2 linked regions of the Oryzias latipes genome follow. The main gene of each other region encodes a partner of the protein of the gene in region 2 in a complex. Links are inferred from orthologs where the notes say so. Each region holds a gene or a part of one and is shown on either strand. Other genes may lie near its edges.

Region 1 (9,571 bases), about 6.7 Mb from region 2:
CAAGATAATTTCTCTTTCAAGTGAGTTGTTGAATTTAAAAGAGCTATTGATTTAGATCTACAAATAATCAAGATTATGGACATTTATGATTCAATTAATTTAAGTAAACATTGTCATTTCAAAACCAAAATAGTTGGTAATGAAAAACAGTTTTCAAAGGACAAAAATGAACAAAGATGGAATTTTCATTAATACACACACAAAAAAATCTTGATTAAACCAACAGAATAAAAAAAAAAAAGAGCAAGAAATTCAATTTGTAAATTACATCCATAAATATGCATCTTCCAAGGGAGGATCATATTAATTATCATCTTAAATCCAGTTTAGGGATTCAGTGCACATATTTCATGAGAACTCCAGCCCAGAATTCCTCTGTTATTGCTTCCCGCTCCTGTTAAAATCACTGCAACTCATCACGTCTCTGCAGAACTGATGAGCTGGATCAGAGGTACCTGAACACCACAATCATGGTGCATCTGCAGCTCCTCAGTGGAAAAAGGGCTGCCCAGCAAGATGTGACATGCAGACAATTTGTGTACCTGTTTTGGGTTTTTAATAGAAAACAAGAGGCTGCTGTTTAGACAATGGCTGCCTTACCCTGGTCCTGAGGCTCTACTACCCTGCCTATACTTTCCAGTTCTATTGATTACCTAATCTCACGTGTCTCATCATTCTGATTGACTATACACACCTGATACAGATAATAAGAAGCAAAAAGTCCAAAAAATAAACAGTAAAAACTAAAAAGGCAGGCTGGGCAGCCCTGGTCTGGAGCAATAGATTTCAATAAAACACTGCCTTTCCTAATAAAGGCTTACAGTTGCAAAATGCAGTTAAGCTCCTGGAGATGCGGATTGTCGTGAGATTATATGAAATCCAGGCAGAATTTAAGGATTATAATCCAAGTGAGTTAGAGTACAATAATGCTCCCTAACTTCAGGAGACTGCAGCAGGACTGATGAAAACAGCTTCAAGAGTTTCAGCACAAATACAGACCAAATCTGGTGGTCCAAAGGAAAAAAAAAAACAAAGTAAAATATCACAAGACACAAATCAGTACTTTTTTTTCATCCATTCCTTGGCTTTGGATGGAAGAAAAACAACCTGCAACACCAGCATAACTGCTGAGTTTATCTTTCATAGTTTTCATTGATGTTGGCTGGTAATGAAGACTGCAGGATCTTTCATGCTCCAGTTTCATCCTCCATCAATATTTTGACCCAGATGTATCTTTTTTTTAATCAGTTATTGCTTTTTCTCAGATTTACACCACCACTCTAAAGTACAGCTATTTTATCTTTGGTCTTCAGCTGAAGATCATTCACTCTGCAACAGCAATCAGCTTTATTCACATTATGCGGCGCTTGTGTTCCTATTTTGTTATTTTCAGAGCCACTTCGCGAGTTCTCAAACAGATTCACCATAAAAACAGTCAGTGAAAATCCTACAAAATAAAAGCCTGTAACCTATGAGCAGTTCAAACTGTGGTTGATGATGGTTTAATCCTCCCCTTCTTATTTATCGAATCAGGAACAAAACGAAAAAAATGTACAATACCAACATTGAGTTTAAATAACTATTATGACCGTACGACTCAAAACTCAAGTTTCCACTAAACCTATGCAAGAAAACACACACACACACCTTAATCTTCTGCTGAATGTGTCGGAGAGCATCAGCGGTGCCCATGTCTCCATCCTCCTGGATGCAAACCACATCCAGCTTCATCTTCACGTCCACCTTTATTTTGGGGTCCATGCTCATCATCTTCTGCACTTCTTTTGTGGTGATTATAATGACCTCTGAAAACACAGATATGATTTTTTTTTTTTTACATAGAAAAAGTTGCCAAATGCATTTGCTTACTTAAAATCTAATTTGGCAAAATCAGTCATCTTCCATCGAAGCTGAGATTATACCTCCAGCCTTTTGAATGCACATATCAATCAACACATACCAGTCTGTCTACATTACTCAGCTCCATCTGCATAAATAGTTTTTAATGGGGATTTCTTCACTCTAGCTGTGACAGGCCAGTAAAATCTAATTGCATAGCTTTGGTTAGGAGGCTGCAGCCAGTTAACTGTCGGCCACACAGGATGATTACGCATTGAAAACAAGTCTTATTTAGGTAAGTAAGAAACTACAGGGTTTTACAACAAACAGTCTGGCTTACTGTCTGCAGGAAAAGATCCTGTATAGATTTAAAAACTTGCAGCACAAAAAAAAATCCACTTTGTAAATCAAATGTGGACATTCACAAATCAAACGTGGACATTCACACCAGTCAATGGATACAAATTTCCTGACACGCAGATAAAAGCATTAAATTGAATGTGCTTGATGATGTAAAGACAGGACTTGACAGCAGAGCTATCAGTAAGCATTACAGCGGAATACTGTCAATGTACTAAAGCTCGATTTAGCCATAAATGGTGGTTAAGCTGAAGCTACACTTTAAATACGGTCACAAAACTATCAATATGTAGTTTTACTTCTCCGCATATTACAATGAATACAATAAGGTAAATAAATATTTTGATTTCAATGGTTTAGTTGGATAAAGGGGAAGCAACATACTAATCTAAATGTAAAAAATGCAATAGTTTTCGGTAAAATGTGTTGCATAGTTCTATAGGTGTGTTGTGGAAAGTGTAATCTAAAGTCAAACCGATGGAGGGAAATCTCTGTTCTGAGATCTGCTGTAGAGCCTGTACATCTATACAAAATGTATTTTCAGATTATTCAATCGATTTTGCAAAACCTTGATCTTACTAAAGAAAAAAAGCATTCAAGCCATTCTTTTGAAACTTAGCTTAAGCTTGTAGAGTCAATTGTCATTTTATCACTATTCACACAAACCTTTTGCCGTATTACATCATTTTATTTTATTTTTTGTTAGTCTAAAGAATACAAAATGTTCTGTTCAGTAGCATTTAAAGTTGTTGATCATTAGAAATAAATGTACAAGCGATTTCTTTGTATTACTTTTCTCCTATTATAGCAAATGTATGTCCTAATATATTAAACATGCAAAAAAATAAAAAATAAAATAAAAACTGGTTGATCATTTTCCAAGTAATTATATAGAAAAATTGAAGGTGGTTTCAGTGAGCCTGTAAATTCAAGGGGTATTTTTTGTCCATGGTGAAAGAGTATGGATGGAACAGCTAATTGACTCTTATTGTAATATAAATATATATTTTTTGTTTATATATTCTTTGGTTTTGCCCTCACCTTCAAATCCTACCCTTTCCAGCAAGTTCAAGGGATACCAAATGAGGGGCTTGTTGCCAACGGGCAGCATTGCTTTAGGGGTGTTGTATGTTAAATCAGTCATCCGGGAACCACCACCCGCCGCCATCAACACCGCTTGGAGCTCCATGATGTCTGCAGCAACGGGCTATGGAGGACAGTCACCACCAACACAGAAGGACAAGGGTTAAAATGATGTTTATTGTTCAAAACTCCTATTCTGGACAGTCTGAACTATAAATACTGAGCCGTTCTCCAACAAATTCAGTACAAAAAGTGATGCTTTTAGTGTTTTCTCTACTGAAGAAAATAAATAAATAAAAACTAAACAAAGACAACAGTATGTCATCCACTCAGTTAAACCCTTAGGATGATTTTTTTTTTACTTAAGGAAAACTAACTTTAAGAGGAAATAAAATATCATTAAAGTTGGTTGAGCTGATTTAAACTGTTGATGAACTCCACTAGATGAAGTTAAAATATACATGTATGGTTTAATTTCAGATATATCAGTTATTAATATATTTGCTGCTTTTACTGAGTAGCAAATGAATTGTAAACTGAAAAAGACTTTGGAAGTAGATTCTGAATTAGTAAGAATGACTTAAACTTAAACTCATTTGTATAAACACAATTTAAAAATCAATCAATGAATAGAGTTTAAATCACATTTATGATTACTCTCTAAGAGAGTCAAGTGATTGAGATAAATTAGTAAAAATTAAACATCCGTTTATTTGTGCGTCTTTTTTGTTCCGTATCCAACTGAAGGATTCAATTATCTTCAGTTGTACTAATAAAAACAACAGCAACAAATCTGTGGTAATCCAAGTAAAGTATTGCTAGCAGGGAGAAGTCTCCGAATTATCAACATGACAGTTTTTTATGACACGTTAAGACCGTTATGCTATTAAAGACTTAGAAATATTCAAAATATTAAAAGTGTCTTTCAAACGTACCTGTTTCTTTGTTTTGATTACCGGCGTGGTAGGGGAATGAGCTGCAGACGCATGGAAGACGTGTTCCTGTCACTGTCAATTGGCTAACTCTGTTAGCAACTAGCCATCAAAGTTACCGCCGTTCTGCAGATAAATCAAACCCATTTAAATATGACTCATGGACGATAAACATCTAATCGGATCAGACTGGGATCCTGACTAAAATAAAGCTAAACAGTTAGGTCATTTACAGCAAACGCTTAAACAAGCTAACAGCTAGCATTGCATGATGACACATTGTGGTGTTCAGGAAAATTCATCCGTAGTTAAACAGTTTCCTATACAAAGTGGTTCCTCCAGCCGCCACCTTTGGTTAGTAAATAACAGTACACCCAAATTACTGCTAAAACAACAACAACAGCAATAAAAACAACAACAACAACAACAACAACAACAACAACAACAACAACAACAACAACAACAACAACAATAATAATAATAATAATAATAATAATAATAATAATAATAATAATAATAATAACGTGAAACATTTTAATTGATCAAATGCTTCAAAAAAAAAAGATGATTTTTATGTATTTGTATTGATTGTTGGTTCAGTATAGTTTGATTTAGTAACAATGCATCAAACCGAAGTTGTTGTCTACAGACCCACCACACTATATTTGTTTGAAACTAAAGCACTCCATCAACAAAAGTATATAAAAAACAAAATAAAAGTATAAACATATTTTTATACACTTTTGCTGATGGAATGTGGTTTCAGCAACCAAATGTAGTGTGAGCAGATTACCAGCCAGAAGAAGCCACCCACCCATCTACTGCTCCACACTTCAAGGTTGAAAACTCGTAATTCACAAAGCTGAAACTTAACAGCAAATTGAGCTTGGGGAATGTGGCTTTGGTTTTGTTTGCTCTAGCCAGGAGATGAGCTTGACTGCTCATTATGACTTGCTCAAAACCAGGCAAGCAACTAGAGAAAGAGAAGGAGAGAGGAAATGAAGGACAAAGAGACAAAGCAGCTTAGCTGCTTTAGCCCCCTAAAACAACAATACTCTCCCACAAAGATATGTGAATGCGAGTTACTGAAAAAGTTCATGATAAAATGTACTGGTTTACTGAATTTTGCTAAACTGCATAACACGCATATGTTTAACTTTTACAAAGTAACAACATCATTTCAAACTGAATGAAAACTGAAGCTTTTTAAAGTAAACTTCGTACCATAGCCAAATAGATCTGGTTATCATTAAGAAGTTTCTCGCAAAAAATGTTTAAAAAATGTTTGTCCAAGGTCACTTTCCTTGATTGACTTGTGCAGCTAACCCCAATCTTTGGAAAGAAGCGCATTTGCAAATCTGAAAAGGAATAGACTTTAAAATTGTGCTGTTTAGGGAGTACTAAATTTACCAACAACTTTCACTAAATGGAAACTTGAATGTCTGTTATTTTCTCCAATTTTACCCTTTAGAAGACCTTTTCCATTTTTCATGTTCAACCACAAACTTTACAAGGTGTTGTCAAAGTACAGGTGACATCTCGCTTCATAAAATAAAAACTTTTTTTTAATCTGGCAAAAAGTGAAGTTCTAATAAAAGTCAAACTGAAGTCTAAAAAGCTCACAGACATTACTGCTCGGCTGGTTAACCACAGGGAGCTGACGTGTGGGAGGCACTGCACATAACTACACCATGGAACCAGGCTGTTTCCACTGAAAGCTCACTTAACAGGATGAATTTCACAAAGGGCTAATAAGACTTCTTATAAGCCTACAGATATTTTTATGAATGGTTTCTTGCATTTTCTTTACATTACGTTTCTGGTTAAGATCTCCACTAAGAACATTTAAACCAGCATGTCACCTATCTTCATTTACATTTATACCTAACTTCTTCGTCTCTAGCCACTACAGTTTATGCACTGTTTTTTCTTCAGCCTATGCACACTCACACATCAGTTACATCACTCTTTCACCATTTTGCAGTTGCTTTCAAACTTTTGTGCTTACATTATTTTTTGCATTTAATGTTACATTTTATCTCTGTTTAAATAGTTTGTTTTTTTTTTTTAGTTTTATAATCCATTCAAAATGTTGTTTCATCCAAATATTCTTCAGTTTAGACCTTTCAAAACCAGAGCACGTTTTTCTATATCCTAAAAGTTTATTACTGTAATCCTTCTCTTTTGCTTTGCAAGGACTCCTCTGGCAGCTAAAGGCATGCACTGTACAGGAAAGCGGCAGTATATATTGCAAAGCCCTTAAAACACTTTAAGGGTTTTCCTTTTGCTAGATACAACAATGCTATTACAGCATGAAAATTTACATTTTATTAAATCAGAACCAACATTTTCTGGATTATGGTTTACTTAGACACAGCCTTTTGAAGTAAAAAAAAATCCTGACGTGTTTATTGCATGACAGGTTGATAAATGAAACTATAGAGCTAAGAGAAAAACTTTGAGTTTGTACTAATGTAAGAAATTTGACATTTGAGATTTAGGAAATAAAAGGCAATCAAGGTATATGTGCTCGATTTTTTTCTAAAAAATCAAACGATTTTTTTCTAAAAAATCAAAACGTTTTTCTATGACAAACGTTTTGTTCCATAATAGGAGTAAAAGAATAAAACTAAGCAGTGGCTGGAGGATGTGCAATCCCTCTCTCTATAAATGGAACCTCAGCTACGAGCACTGCTTGGGCTCACCAGTAAAAACTTCAACTTTCAATTTAATTACACACAATTCAGCCATAACATCAACAATTCAGACCCACAAACGTTCTTCGGCTTGTTCAGCTTGGGTTTCACGTGGAGGTTATTGTGACACTGAAACATTTTGCAGAGCTGAGGTGCCTCCCTTAGAAGGAAGGCAGCGAGTCCTGCAAAACCAGATTCTACCCTTCAACCTATAGAGCTTGATGATCTGCTGTCATAGCAGCCCTACACTCTCCAGAACACCCATCGAGGTTTTTTTTTAGTCCACAACGTTTGCTCCGCAACAGTTTTGGATGCTCCATTTCAGACATCATGAGTTTCTGTAGTGTCAGTATATTTAAACTATTTATACTTCATTGTTGCATCTGAGGGCTGTACAGTGGGGTATAGTGGTTAGCACTCTCGCCTCACAGCAGTGAAGCCATGGCTCGAATCCCGGTTGGGACCTTTCTTGGGTTAGTAGGTTCTCCCTGTGCATGCTTGACTTTTCTCCTAGAACTCCACCTTCCTCCGACAGTCCAAAAACATGGGATGTCTCTAAATTGCCCCTAGGTGTGAGTGTGTGGTCCTGCAACATACCCTCCCCTTTGTCCAAAAGTAGCTGCACTGGCTCCTGCAGCCACATGAGCCCAAAGGGAATCAAGAAGATGGATGGATGGATGGATGGATGGATGGATGGATGGATGGAAGTATGTTGCATGTCAAAACACAAATCAATCATCAGCCTTTGACAAATAGTATTATATGATCTTTTATTTCTATGTTTTATTATACACTTTAACAACTAGTATTTTAAAAGCTTTCTAAAATCAGACTATTGTAACAAATTATTCAGTAAAAATGAGAATTTTCTGTGTATAAAGACACAACTAAAATATAAAGTTAAGCAGTCAAATCTTTTTTTTTTTTTACATCATTGCAAACATCTCCTTTCAGTTTTATAGATAGCAAAATGAAAACCAGTTTATTCTGAAAAAAAGTCAATTCCACCAGAGCAGCAAATACCCATTGACCACACAAAAGAAGATGATATGAAAACATATGTTTGCTTTATTTATTTTGTTGTAAAACGTGTATTGACTGTACGGCAGACAGACAGTGACAGATTGTACATGAAATGTTTGTCCCTTTGAAATACACAAATCTTTATGTGCTGAGACAAAGTTCATTTATCTGCTGCTTTTTTCTTTGAATCAAAGCCAGATGTATTTGTAAAATACAGACACATAATATAAAGAAATGAATAAAAATGTATGGACAAAACTAAACACAATGCTGGTCCTCATACAGGACCAGATGGTTGCAAGAAACCATCAACAATTTCTAAATATTTTGGACGTTTTTTTCTTTTTTGTGTCAGAACAGCAATGATGGTGTTTTTTTCTTCTATATGTAAAGTCACACTTTTAAACGGTCATTGATCAAAATGATGTGTCTGTAAAGAAATCAATCCAGACAAAAGGTGTTTTAAAAATAAATAAGTAAGTGAAAAAACTGTTTTTTTGGGACAATTTGTGTTGTTTTCATCAGCTTTTATGGGACCCGACAGTCACTCGTGCACGTCTGATTACAGATTGATTTGACATGCAGCCATGAAAGTTCCTGAGACTTCCTCTTGTTGGCCATGCTGCAGCATCTTGTAAATCATTCTCAATTCACTGAAACAAGCCAGTTGGATTAGCTTGGTTTAGATCATAAACATTTGCAGCACAGACCACCAAGGAAGAGCGCAGAGCCAAGCAAGATTGTTCGTGAGTGTGCGTTCATCTGTGTGTACGTGTGTGTGTGTTTGAAGCGTTGCTCACATTCAGAGGTGGGTATTGCAGAACATAGAAGCTCATATGTGGTCTCAGACATGCAGTGGCACAGACACACACACCCACACTGAGGTTAGTGTTCAGGCCTCTTCCAGGGCCGGTGCACTGTGGGGCCCTAACCGCTGTTGTGGAAACCATAACAGCCTGTCCGCTCGGTCAGGGCCAAAATGAACATGCACTCACAGTTCAGAGATAAAGATGTCTCCCTGCTCTGCTGCAGAGGCCCATGCATTTCCTTTATGGCAAAAACTGAACTGTCTGACTGCATCGTTTGTATTGGCTTTGAATGACAGTCACTCTGATTTGCTGTGCAGCACGAGTCAAATTTGTTTGGATTTATTCAACTTAAAACCAGCCTCCAAATGTCAAACAACTGTGACATGAGGCATGTTTTCCAGGGACTTTTACACCAGTCTTCTGCCCCCCCCCCAAATTTCAACAATCCGTGTCACCAGACCTTGAAATCCATTCTTTTTTCACTTGAATGCGGCTGGAGTAAGTCTTTTCCCCCCAAATACAGAGGGGTTTCAAGAGCCAAAGGGCTGTCAGAATCAGGAAATATCTGGGTTGGGTTTTGAAGAGCAGAGAAGAAAATCCTGGTAACTCCCTTCAGATGGCCATGGGCTCTCTTCTCTGTAATCTGCCACTTTTAGTGGCTTAGCTGATGATTTACCATTTTTGTGTGCTCTGTTCTTCTGTATATGACACCGCAATGTATCACTACCATGGATGTATTACCTTTTCTGTTTGATCAAGGTTCCACCTTAAAGACCTCACAGTTTGTTCTAAGAGTTTTTTGCAATATGGTTCACATATGTCTTAAAAT
Region 2 (9,571 bases):
CTTTTCCTTTCTCCACAGATGGCCTCAGCTGTGGCTGACAGGGCAATAGGAGCCATTGTTGGATCAGCTGTTGCAGATGCTGCAGGTAATTTTTTTGACTGGTTATCATTTTGTTTATTCTGCATCTAATTCAGTCGGATAACATTTTTTAAACACCCCCTCGAAGGAAAATTGGGTTTATTGTGTCTACTACTCCAAGGCAAATGTTTAATGAGCTCCAGCCGCTCTGCAGAAACGATGTTCTAGGAAACGACCCAGGTTTTTTGGGTTGTTTTGGCTAAAATCGACATAATCATAACTAAAATACCATTGGGAATGGTTTTACAATAGATCAAAAGATGGTCGGAGTTGGACTTGTGTCATTATTTTTCAAAGGATCCTGCATACCTTTTACCACATCAGTATTTGCTCTTGAACAGCTTGTTCACATTTCTATCACATTTCCCCCAATAACCCAATCAAACAAGTAATTATTACCTGTAAAGATCTTCGTCTGAACTAAAAAAAAAAACTGACTGGATGATGTATTTACAGCACAGCCTCTGCACTGGGTCTATGACCTGCAGAAGCTGAAGGGGATACTGGCTCAGGATTCAAACCCAGAGTTCCGTTCTGAGTCTGCCAACCCTTTTTACCGAAGGAAGACGGGCGAGCAGAGTTGCTACGGAGACCAGGCTTATGTGCTGCTGGAAAGCTTGTCTGAATGTGGAGGTGAGCCAGTCTCTCCTAATATCTGTATTTGGACCCAACAAAGTGGTAGATTTTTAACACAAAGATGCTCCGCAAAACAACTAAATGAGATTTTTATCGCCCCAGTCATGTGGCATTGATCAACCAAATTTTAATCAATTAACAAATTATGAATTTGAGGATATTTTATATTTTATGTCATTTTAACTCCCGTCATGATTCATTGATCACTGTCGTCTTCTAGGTCTAAACGTTGAACATCTAAAGCAGCGCACAATGAAGTTCTTTGGACCGGGTTCAGAGTACGACACACCCATCAATGATCCGTACAGAGACAAAACCGGTACGGATCTTTTCAGCTCCTCTGGAGTGAAATGCTGCATTTACTATTATGGTATTCCCTTAAGGAGAAAATCTTTGTACTCATAGAATGTTTGTTTTTAAATTCATCAGGGCCGAGACCTCAGCTGCCCATTGAGGGACCATGGAGGCAGGCATGTTTGAAGAGTTTCATAAAGAATATGGATGCTGGAAAAGAGGAAACAGGTTATTCCAAAAATAAATTAATAAAATAAAACAGTTTGCTGCTATTAAAACAAACAAACTTGACGTGTCTTCTCTGTTGCAGGCTGTGAGACGGATTGTCAGATCGACGGTGTAGCCAAGCTGGCTCCTGTTGTGGCTTTCTATGCAGGGCAGCCTGACATGTTGGAGAAGGTCGAACAGGCCGTCCGCGTCACTCAGAACAGCGACGAATGTGTTGCAGAAACTTTGGGGGCAGCAAGGTTTTTAACATGTTTCTTCTCCTGGTGGCACTAATGAAATGGGATAGATCCTTATATTATTATCTATCTTTTTTCAGTGCCACTCTTGATGATGTAAACTTATCCCACTTATCCTCAAATTTAGATTTAATAAAGAGCTACAATAAAAATAAATACATAAAATAAAATCCCCCAATTCATTTCTTGAGGTTTCTGGAACATTTCATCTTGAACGGTGCTGATCCGGGAGCCCTGGAGGCAGTGCTGAATCAGCTGAATGATCTGAAGAGAAAGCAGCCTCAGGATTTGGATAAAGCGGTGGTCGGTATGTGAGATCAACTGCTGCTTTGTTACTGATAAAGTCATGAGATTGGGTCATGCTGTTATCCGTCATGTCCTGTTGTTATTTCAGGCCACATTCATCAGGTGAAAGAGCATTTATCAAAGACTCCCCAGGAGATTATCCCCACAGTGTTCCCAAACACATGAGGTACTTTGACAGTTTAAGCGTCTCTGGTGACAGAAAATCTTAATTCTTTGAACTTCGGCTCAAATAATTATGAATTATTGCATTTATTATTATTTTTTTAGGTCTGCCAGGTGCATTCCAGGCAGCGCTGCACGGAGTCCTAACGGCCAAGAACTTTGAGACGGCTGTCAGAGACACCATGAGCTGCGGTGGGTGCACCTGCAGTCGAGGGTCCTTCATCGGAGCATGTTTGGGGGCTCAGGTCAGATCATTTGCCTAATTTAGCCACTATTCCGTTACAAGTCAGTGCTGTTGGTGTAATTCATGGCATTTGCTAATTCTAGGTTGGTCTTGAGGGAATCCCAGCATCTTGGAGGGAAAAAACCCTGAGATACAACTCTGTGTTGGAGCACGCCAAGAAGATTACCAAACATCTTTAGTCATATGAGAAGAGTGAGGCACTGAGAGCATCATAGAAGATTGCTGAGCTTTGGCAGAGCATCGAATGAAGGCTTTTGTCTAAACTTATGTGAGGCAGAAGCCTGATGTTTTTTTATGTCTGCAAAAGGATCAAAAGTTGTTTATGATGTTCTCTCACTTGCACTTTTCTCTCGTTTATGAACAGTGACTTATTATAAAACGATGATTGTTATTGTTGACGCTGAAAACTATGATGGGTGAAAATGATAAAAAAAAAAAGGTCAAATGAAGGAAATGAAAGTGCAAGGAGTAGATATGAAAATAAAAAACTGGCGGAAAAAATGAAATTATAAATTGTCAAATAAATCAATACATTTCAAATCTATTTGTTTCGATGTACTCACAATTCAATAAGGTGAAAAGAATTGGAAAAAAACTTACAAAAAATTGGGTATAAATTTCAAATTTCACCAAACCTTGCATTTATTCTTTTTTTGTTTTCTCAAACTTTTTTTCTTCAATTCAGTAATCAGTATTTCCTAAAGCTTTCGTTTACATCTAAGTATATTTCAGCAACATGAATATTGTGACTTAAGTTTAACTACAATGCTACACATTTATGGAATGCAAATTTTGGCCAAATTTATTCACGCTTCAAAACCCAACCTGAAACTTTTTCTCTGTTTTGATGGTTCTGTTTTGATACGCGGCACCATCTGCCTATTTCTTTTTTACATTTTTTTGTACACTTTTCAGTGTACTGTTATTAGTTTTTTATTTTGCAAATGAATTTGAAGTTCTATAAAACACTTAAATTTACCTTAAACTAAGTGGATGCTAAAGAATGTTTGAAATATAAATAAATGATTGCGGTAAAAACTTTCTGCCTGTATCATTTTTTTTTTATATAAGGGGATACAACTCTTCATCTTTAAAAAAAAAATTCAGATGACAATAAAGTAGGCTATTGTTTCACCAAAGGCCTCAAATGCAAGAAAATTAGGCGTGTTATGTTGTTTTTGGGTTATTTTTAGTTTTACATCAAAACATATATATGTAGTCTAATAAAAAATGTAATCTCCCAAATAATTTCTGTTTATGTCTGGCAAAAGTCTTTGTGATTTTTAGAAAGGAATTTTGGTCACCAGTACTTGAAATCAAACATACTTTATTGTCCAAAACACACAGGACAAGGAAACATTAACTATGAGGATGCCATGGAATGGCATTTGCGTAACAAAACATACATTACAGTAAATAGAAAAATGCAAACAATTTTACATTCATCTATGATTTTTTTGTTTATACCATAAGAAAAAGTAAATAAGATTCAATTTTTTTTATTATTAACGTTCAATCAATGTTGCGATTTGCAAAACACACATATATATATATATATATATATATATATATATATATATATATATATATATATATATATATATATATATATATATATATATATATATATATATATATATATATATATATATATATAAATATTTTTTGAAACTGTAATATATAAACAGTTTGCAGTTACAGTTATGTGTGTGTATATGTGTGTGTAAGCTGTATATATATATATAAAAGTATCCAAAAAGATGAGGCGCGGAGCGCGGACCACTGACTAAAATTGCCTCTTGGTGCTCGCCGTAGTGGTTTGTGACGACAGGTTGTGAAACATGGCTGCTAGAGGAGGAAAACAGAGCCGCTCGGGTATGTCGGGTAGGAAAGGCGCAGGTGAGCAGGAAGACGAGGAACAACCGTTGCAAGCCGTTTTAGTGGCTGACAGCTTCAACCGGAGGTTTTTCCCGGTAACCAAAGACCAGCCGCGGGTAAGCAGCGAGCTAAGACAACCCGGGATGCTAATGGAGGCTATAATGTCCATGCTCGGAATTGACAAGAGCTGCACATGTTATCAAGTGTTTCCCGAACTATTAAAGCGCTATTTTGTAATGTTCTTTAAATATATCTTGATGGGACATGTTGAGATTGACGTTCGACATTTTAAAAGCTTTGCTGACAGATTGTGATTGTTGATGCCAGGCTTTGCTGCCGCTCGGTAATGTTGCCATGATCGACTACACCCTGGAGTTCCTGACCTCCACTGGAGTCCAGGAGACCTTTGTGTTCTGCTGCTGGATGGCCAGCAAAATCAAGGAGCATTTACTGTGAGTTGGATAGCTTCCGTCAGTGTTAGGGATGTCTTTTCTCTTTGTTTGAACCTTCCACTCTCCTACAGGAAATCAAAGTGGTGTCGACCCACCTCCTCAAACACAGTCCACATCATCACCTCAGAACTGTACCGCTCCCTTGGGGATGTCCTCAGGGATGTCGACGCCAAGTCCCTGGTGCGATCTGACTTTGTGTTGGTTTATGGAGACGTGGTGTCCAACATCGACATGAGTCAGGCGCTGCAGGAGCACAGGTAGATCCCCTCAGAGAACGCTCCCCTTTGGATTCTCTGCAGATTTTTTCTCTTCAGCATTTTGTTCTCGTCAGGCAACGGCGAAAGATGGAGAAGAACATCTCTGTGATGACCATGATGTTTAAGGAGTCGTCTCCGGGTCACAGATCCCGCTGTGAGGAAGATGATGTCATTGTAGCTGTGGACAGTAAGAGTCAGCAGATTTTACACTACCAGAAGACACAAGGCTTAAGGAAGCTGCAGTTTCCCATGGTAAACTCTGGTTTCACGGTTAGCTTATTGCTCTTTCTCCTTTTAAGGATTTGACTAATTAAACACTGTTGGTGTTCTGCAGAACATTTTTCATTGTGGAACTGATGAGTTTGAAATCAGACATGACCTCCTGGACTGTCACATCAGCATCTGCTCTCCACAGGTCAGCTTTGCTACAAAAATAGAAAAATAAAATCTTTGTTATTGTATTTTAATGCGCTTCTCCCTATATTTTTGTAGGTTGCTGAGCTCTTCACCGATAATTTCGACTACCAGACTAGGGATGATTTTGTTCGAGGAATTCTGGTCAACGAAGAGGTGCTCCACAAATCTAATTATTGCTTTTTAAAGACCCACTCCAAAGAAAATCTAAATTTTTGTGTTTTTAATGTGTATTTGTGGCATTTTTCTGATGATGGAGGGCATATAAAAAAATTAAGATTAAAACTGCTTTTCTTTATTCAAATGATTGTGAATGAGGAGCAGACAGAAAAAGCTACTGTTGGAAAAAGATTGTACCGTATTTTCCGGACTATAAGTCGCACTGGACTATAAGTCGCATTTTGACAGGAAATTTATTTGACAAAATCTGAGACCAAGAACTAATAAGTTTCACAACCTCATATGACACAATCATAGCAGACTGTTTTCTCATAATTTCACAGTAATTCTTTCTCATACTTATTAATTTATTCCTTTCATGAAGCATCATTGGGGAACTAATACTCTGTTTTCATCCTGTATTTGTAGAAACAGTTGTCATTTTATTGCATTTCTGAATCTATGAAATCATTGGAAAATAGAATATTATGTTGTTAGCCTTCAAGATCTTACTGTAAAAAAAGTTTGCTGATTCTCTGAGTCACTTAACATACTCTTAACACTTAACATACTTCATACATCAAATTGACCCAGGAACATCATCTCTGTTCCTCACAAATGAACATAACAGGAGGGTTAACAATGTATTTATTTCAATTTATTTCTAATATAAGTCGCTGCGGAGTATAAGTCGCACCCCTTGCCAAACTATGAAAAAAGGGCGACTTATAGTCCGGAAAATACGGTAGTTGTGATGTAGATCGGCTACAATCGGCGGGCCACAAGCTCCCTGCTCCGCCTTATTCTGATGCATCTTCTTGTGGACGACTAGATCCATCTACCTCACAGTTTTCCTAGTCCGAGCTGGCATAGTTATTTTGATTTAGTCAAAAACGGCATAATCATAATTAAAAAATCACTAGGAAGACTTAATAGATCAAAGGATGATCGGAGTGGTACTTTCATTTCCGTCTTTGGTCCTTCTGCATGTGACAGTAATTCACTGTTTCTATTCAGATTCTGGGCAACCAGATCCATATGCACGTCACCACGGATGGCTACGGCGTGCGTGTGTCCAACCTGCTCATGTATGATTCGGTGTCGTCGGACTTTGTGCGCCGATGGGTTTACCCCCTCACCCCTGAGTCCAACTTCACCGACCGGGAAGGGCAGATCTGCACATACTCTCGGCACAACGTGTACCGGGGCTCTGGGGTCAGCCTGGGGCACGGCAGCCAGATGGAAGAGAACGTGCTCATCGACCGAGACACAAGCATCGGCGCCAACTGTTCCATCTCCAACAGCGTCATCGGCAACAACTGCACTATAGGTGAGCTCGCTGACAGGTTAACCCAACGGCGCTTCAAAGCCTGTCTGATCCTCTGAAATGTTTCGTCTTTTCCTGCAACAGGAGACAACGTGATCCTAGACCACGCGTACATCTGGAACGACGTCCACATTGCGAGTAATGTGGTGATCCGTCAGTCTGTGGTCTGCGATAAGGTCCAGGTCAAACAGGGTGTGACTCTCGATAAACAGTGCGTCCTGGCTTACAACGTAAGAAACGCACACAGCTGCTATCAAAATCTTCTCTTGTTGGCTCACATGCTCTGGTGTGGACCAAACAACTTTGAGCATGAAGTGCAATTCGTTAACGCAATTATTCACCAGAACTGGTGTTGGCGTGTTTTTACTGTGCATCCCTGAAGCCAACACAACTGGCTGTGTAACTGCTTACATTACTTGCTAAAACTTTTGTCTGTTTCTTCTTACTTTAAGGTTAAACAGCTTACTCTTTTTGTTCACCTTTAGTGAGTGAGTTAAAAATCTGAGATGATTTTGACTGAATTATACTTATTTGAAGTGTAATGGTTGTGTTCACATCACTGACTGTATAAGACAACTGTGAGTGTGACGTCACTCATTGAAAGTGACTATTTCTCCAAGGAAAAGTTGTGCTAAAATGAGGGTGTGGTCTTTTGATTGACATGGGACTGTAGCTTCCATATCAACGACATGCAAATGTACCTGTTTTCAGAAAGATTGGAGCATAATGAGACAAAATTACCGTCAAAACGGACTTTATCTTTCATTCATGCAGTCCGTGGCTCTTCTTCAGCACCTTTTGGGAGAGCAAATCTAGCTGCAGATGTAAAAACTTTTGATTTTTTTCTGCCCTTTTGGATCAATTTCCAGTTTTCTGTTTTTTTTAAAACGAGGCCCAAACTTTGTTTTCTCTGTAGGTTTTTTGTATTCACGTGAACTCTGTCTCCAGGTGGTGATTGGACCCAACGTTTCTCTGCCAGAGGGTACCGTGGTGTCGATGCATCATCCAGAGGAGGAAGAGGAGGAGGACGATGATGAGTTCCTCAGCGATGACGCTCAAGTTGACCAAGGCAAAGACAAAACCAAGCAGAAAGGTGCGTGCTGGCCTGAAGTGATGTGAAATCACCTGTTACTCCTTCATTGTTTTAGGAGATGACTTGGTGCTTCTTTTCTGTAGTTTTTAACCCAGCAGAAGTTGGGGCAGAAGGAAAAGGTTACATTTGGAGAGCCAGCAGTCTGGATGACACGGAGGAGGAGGAGCTGTCACATTGTCTATGGGGTAGGAATCTGTTTCAAAGCTCTCCAGTCTTTATTGAGTGTTATTGTTTTAAATTCTTTGCCTCATGTTGAGCAGGTTTGGTATTGAAGCCGGATCCTGAGAGCGACAGTGAGGACAGCGAGCCTGACGGTCCTGATGACCCAGTAATTCCCTCTCCTGAGATGGATGATGTCAAAGGTGAGCACTCCTAATGTTCGCCCTGCATGACTGCCCCCTACTGGTCAAACAAAAAAAAGCTCTCAGGGCTTTTTATGACAGAAATATATTTCTTAAATTTTGGAAGATTGATCCAAACAGTTAAAGAATTGCATAATTTTGTTTAGTTTTCCAGTTGGAGGTGCTTGGGACCCTGCAGAGAGGTTTGGAGGAGAACATCAGCTGTGACAATCTTGTCCTGGAGATAAATTCTCTCAAGTAAATCTGAGCCTTCTTGCAGTTTTGATGCTCTTTTTTTTACATCTTTGTTCACTGGAGCTCATTGTTCCTCTATAGGTATGCCTACAATATCACTCTGAAGGAGGTGATGCAGATCTTAACCAAAGTGGTGCTGGAGTACCCCTTCCAGCAGCAGGGCCCACAGCTCACCCCGTCCCAATATGTCAAACTCCTCCTACCGGTGAAGCAGCTTTCCCATTCCATCCCATTTCTTTAGAGGTGACTGTAGCTGATTATGATTTTTTTCTGTTTTCAGTTATTGAAGAAATGGGCTCCGGTGTTCAAAAACTACGTGAAGAGAGCTCAGGACCACTTGGACTGTTTGTCTGCGTTTGAGGAGCATTTCTGGGAACAGGAGAGCCACTGGGCGGCGATGGTTAAGGTGAGCCACCAGCAGTTACTATAAAGTGTGGAAAGCTGGCTGATTGTGGTTGTTTTGGCGTGTCTGAGGCTGTCGTCTGTCAATCAGGTGCTGATGAACATGTACGAGCTGGAAATCCTGGAGGAGGAGACGATACTGCGATGGTTCTCACAAGGAGCCACCACAGACAAAAGCAAACAGCTCCGCAAAAACCCGGGGGTGGGTGCTGCTGGGTTTTTTTTTATTTTTACAATTTTCTGGTTTAAATTATTCAGCTGTTTTCTTTTTAACCACATCCTCAGAATATGGGCTAGTTTATGATTTAAATGGTATCATTTCTTCTGGTGGTTGCTCTCATACTCTGTATTAATTATCATAGTTTTGGTATAGCTTAGTCACATTTCATTTCATTTTGCATATATATTTTTACCACTTAAGGTTTGTGCAGGGAAAAAGGTATTAACATTAATCGATTTTATGAAAAACTAAAGGTTAAATTGACACTAAGCAGAACAAGTTATTTCATTTCAGCTTGGTTTTCCGCTTATCCTAAAAAACATTTAAGTTAACTTATGGAAGAGGAAAATATTTGCCATTTTTGGCAGAACAGTTGCTACCATTGCAGACGTTCACCTTAGATTTTTAAAGTTACGGGATTTATTTTTGGATCTGGAGAAGAAAAACTTTGCAAGTCCTTAATTAAGTGGCTTGAAAAAAAGAATGTAGAGCGTGAGTTCAACCTGTTGGTCATTAGGATGGAGGACATAAATCCATTTTAAAACCAATAATTTAAGAAAGAAGTAAACTTAAAACGTAGGCTTATTTT

The links.
Region 1: the proteins of eif2b5 (region 2) and eif2b3 are in contact, whole or in part, in a cryo-EM structure (PDB 7VLK), measured with the Homo sapiens proteins. The link is inferred for Oryzias latipes from reciprocal best matches to the Homo sapiens genes EIF2B5 and EIF2B3. Residues at the interface, in NP_003898.2 of Homo sapiens: Pro190, Val202, Arg222, Arg223, Phe224, Ala225, Phe226, Pro227, Leu228, Phe231, Gln232, Ser234, Ser235, Asp236, Gly237, Val238, Glu239, Val240, Arg241, Tyr242, Asp243; in NP_065098.1 of Homo sapiens: Arg155, Phe157, Glu178, Glu179, Leu180, Val181, Ile182, Lys183, Gly184, Leu187, Gln188, Pro191, Arg192, Ile193, Arg194, Phe195, His196, Thr197, Gly198.

What each region holds. Positions count from the first base shown.
Region 1 is NC_019875.2:24,333,666-24,343,236, forward strand, and holds the start of eif2b3 (translation initiation factor eIF-2B subunit gamma), read right to left. Parts: upstream 4,528-9,571; 5' UTR 4,218-4,527; intron 3,407-4,217; 5' UTR 3,389-3,406; coding exon 3,241-3,388; intron 1,806-3,240; coding exon 1,648-1,805; intron 1-1,647. UniProt on the Homo sapiens protein: Acts as a component of the translation initiation factor 2B (eIF2B) complex, which catalyzes the exchange of GDP for GTP on the eukaryotic initiation factor 2 (eIF2) complex gamma subunit.
Region 2 is NC_019875.2:17,625,174-17,634,744, reverse strand, and holds the start of eif2b5 (translation initiation factor eIF-2B subunit epsilon), read left to right. Parts: upstream 1-3,927; 5' UTR 3,928-4,025; coding exon 4,026-4,178; intron 4,179-4,389; coding exon 4,390-4,514; intron 4,515-4,585; coding exon 4,586-4,771; intron 4,772-4,845; coding exon 4,846-5,023; intron 5,024-5,105; coding exon 5,106-5,186; intron 5,187-5,263; coding exon 5,264-5,341; intron 5,342-6,361; coding exon 6,362-6,674; intron 6,675-6,755; coding exon 6,756-6,901; intron 6,902-7,619; coding exon 7,620-7,764; intron 7,765-7,847; coding exon 7,848-7,949; intron 7,950-8,024; coding exon 8,025-8,126; intron 8,127-8,272; coding exon 8,273-8,363; intron 8,364-8,441; coding exon 8,442-8,565; intron 8,566-8,640; coding exon 8,641-8,766; intron 8,767-8,853; coding exon 8,854-8,964; intron 8,965-9,571. UniProt on the Homo sapiens protein: Acts as a component of the translation initiation factor 2B (eIF2B) complex, which catalyzes the exchange of GDP for GTP on eukaryotic initiation factor 2 (eIF2) gamma subunit.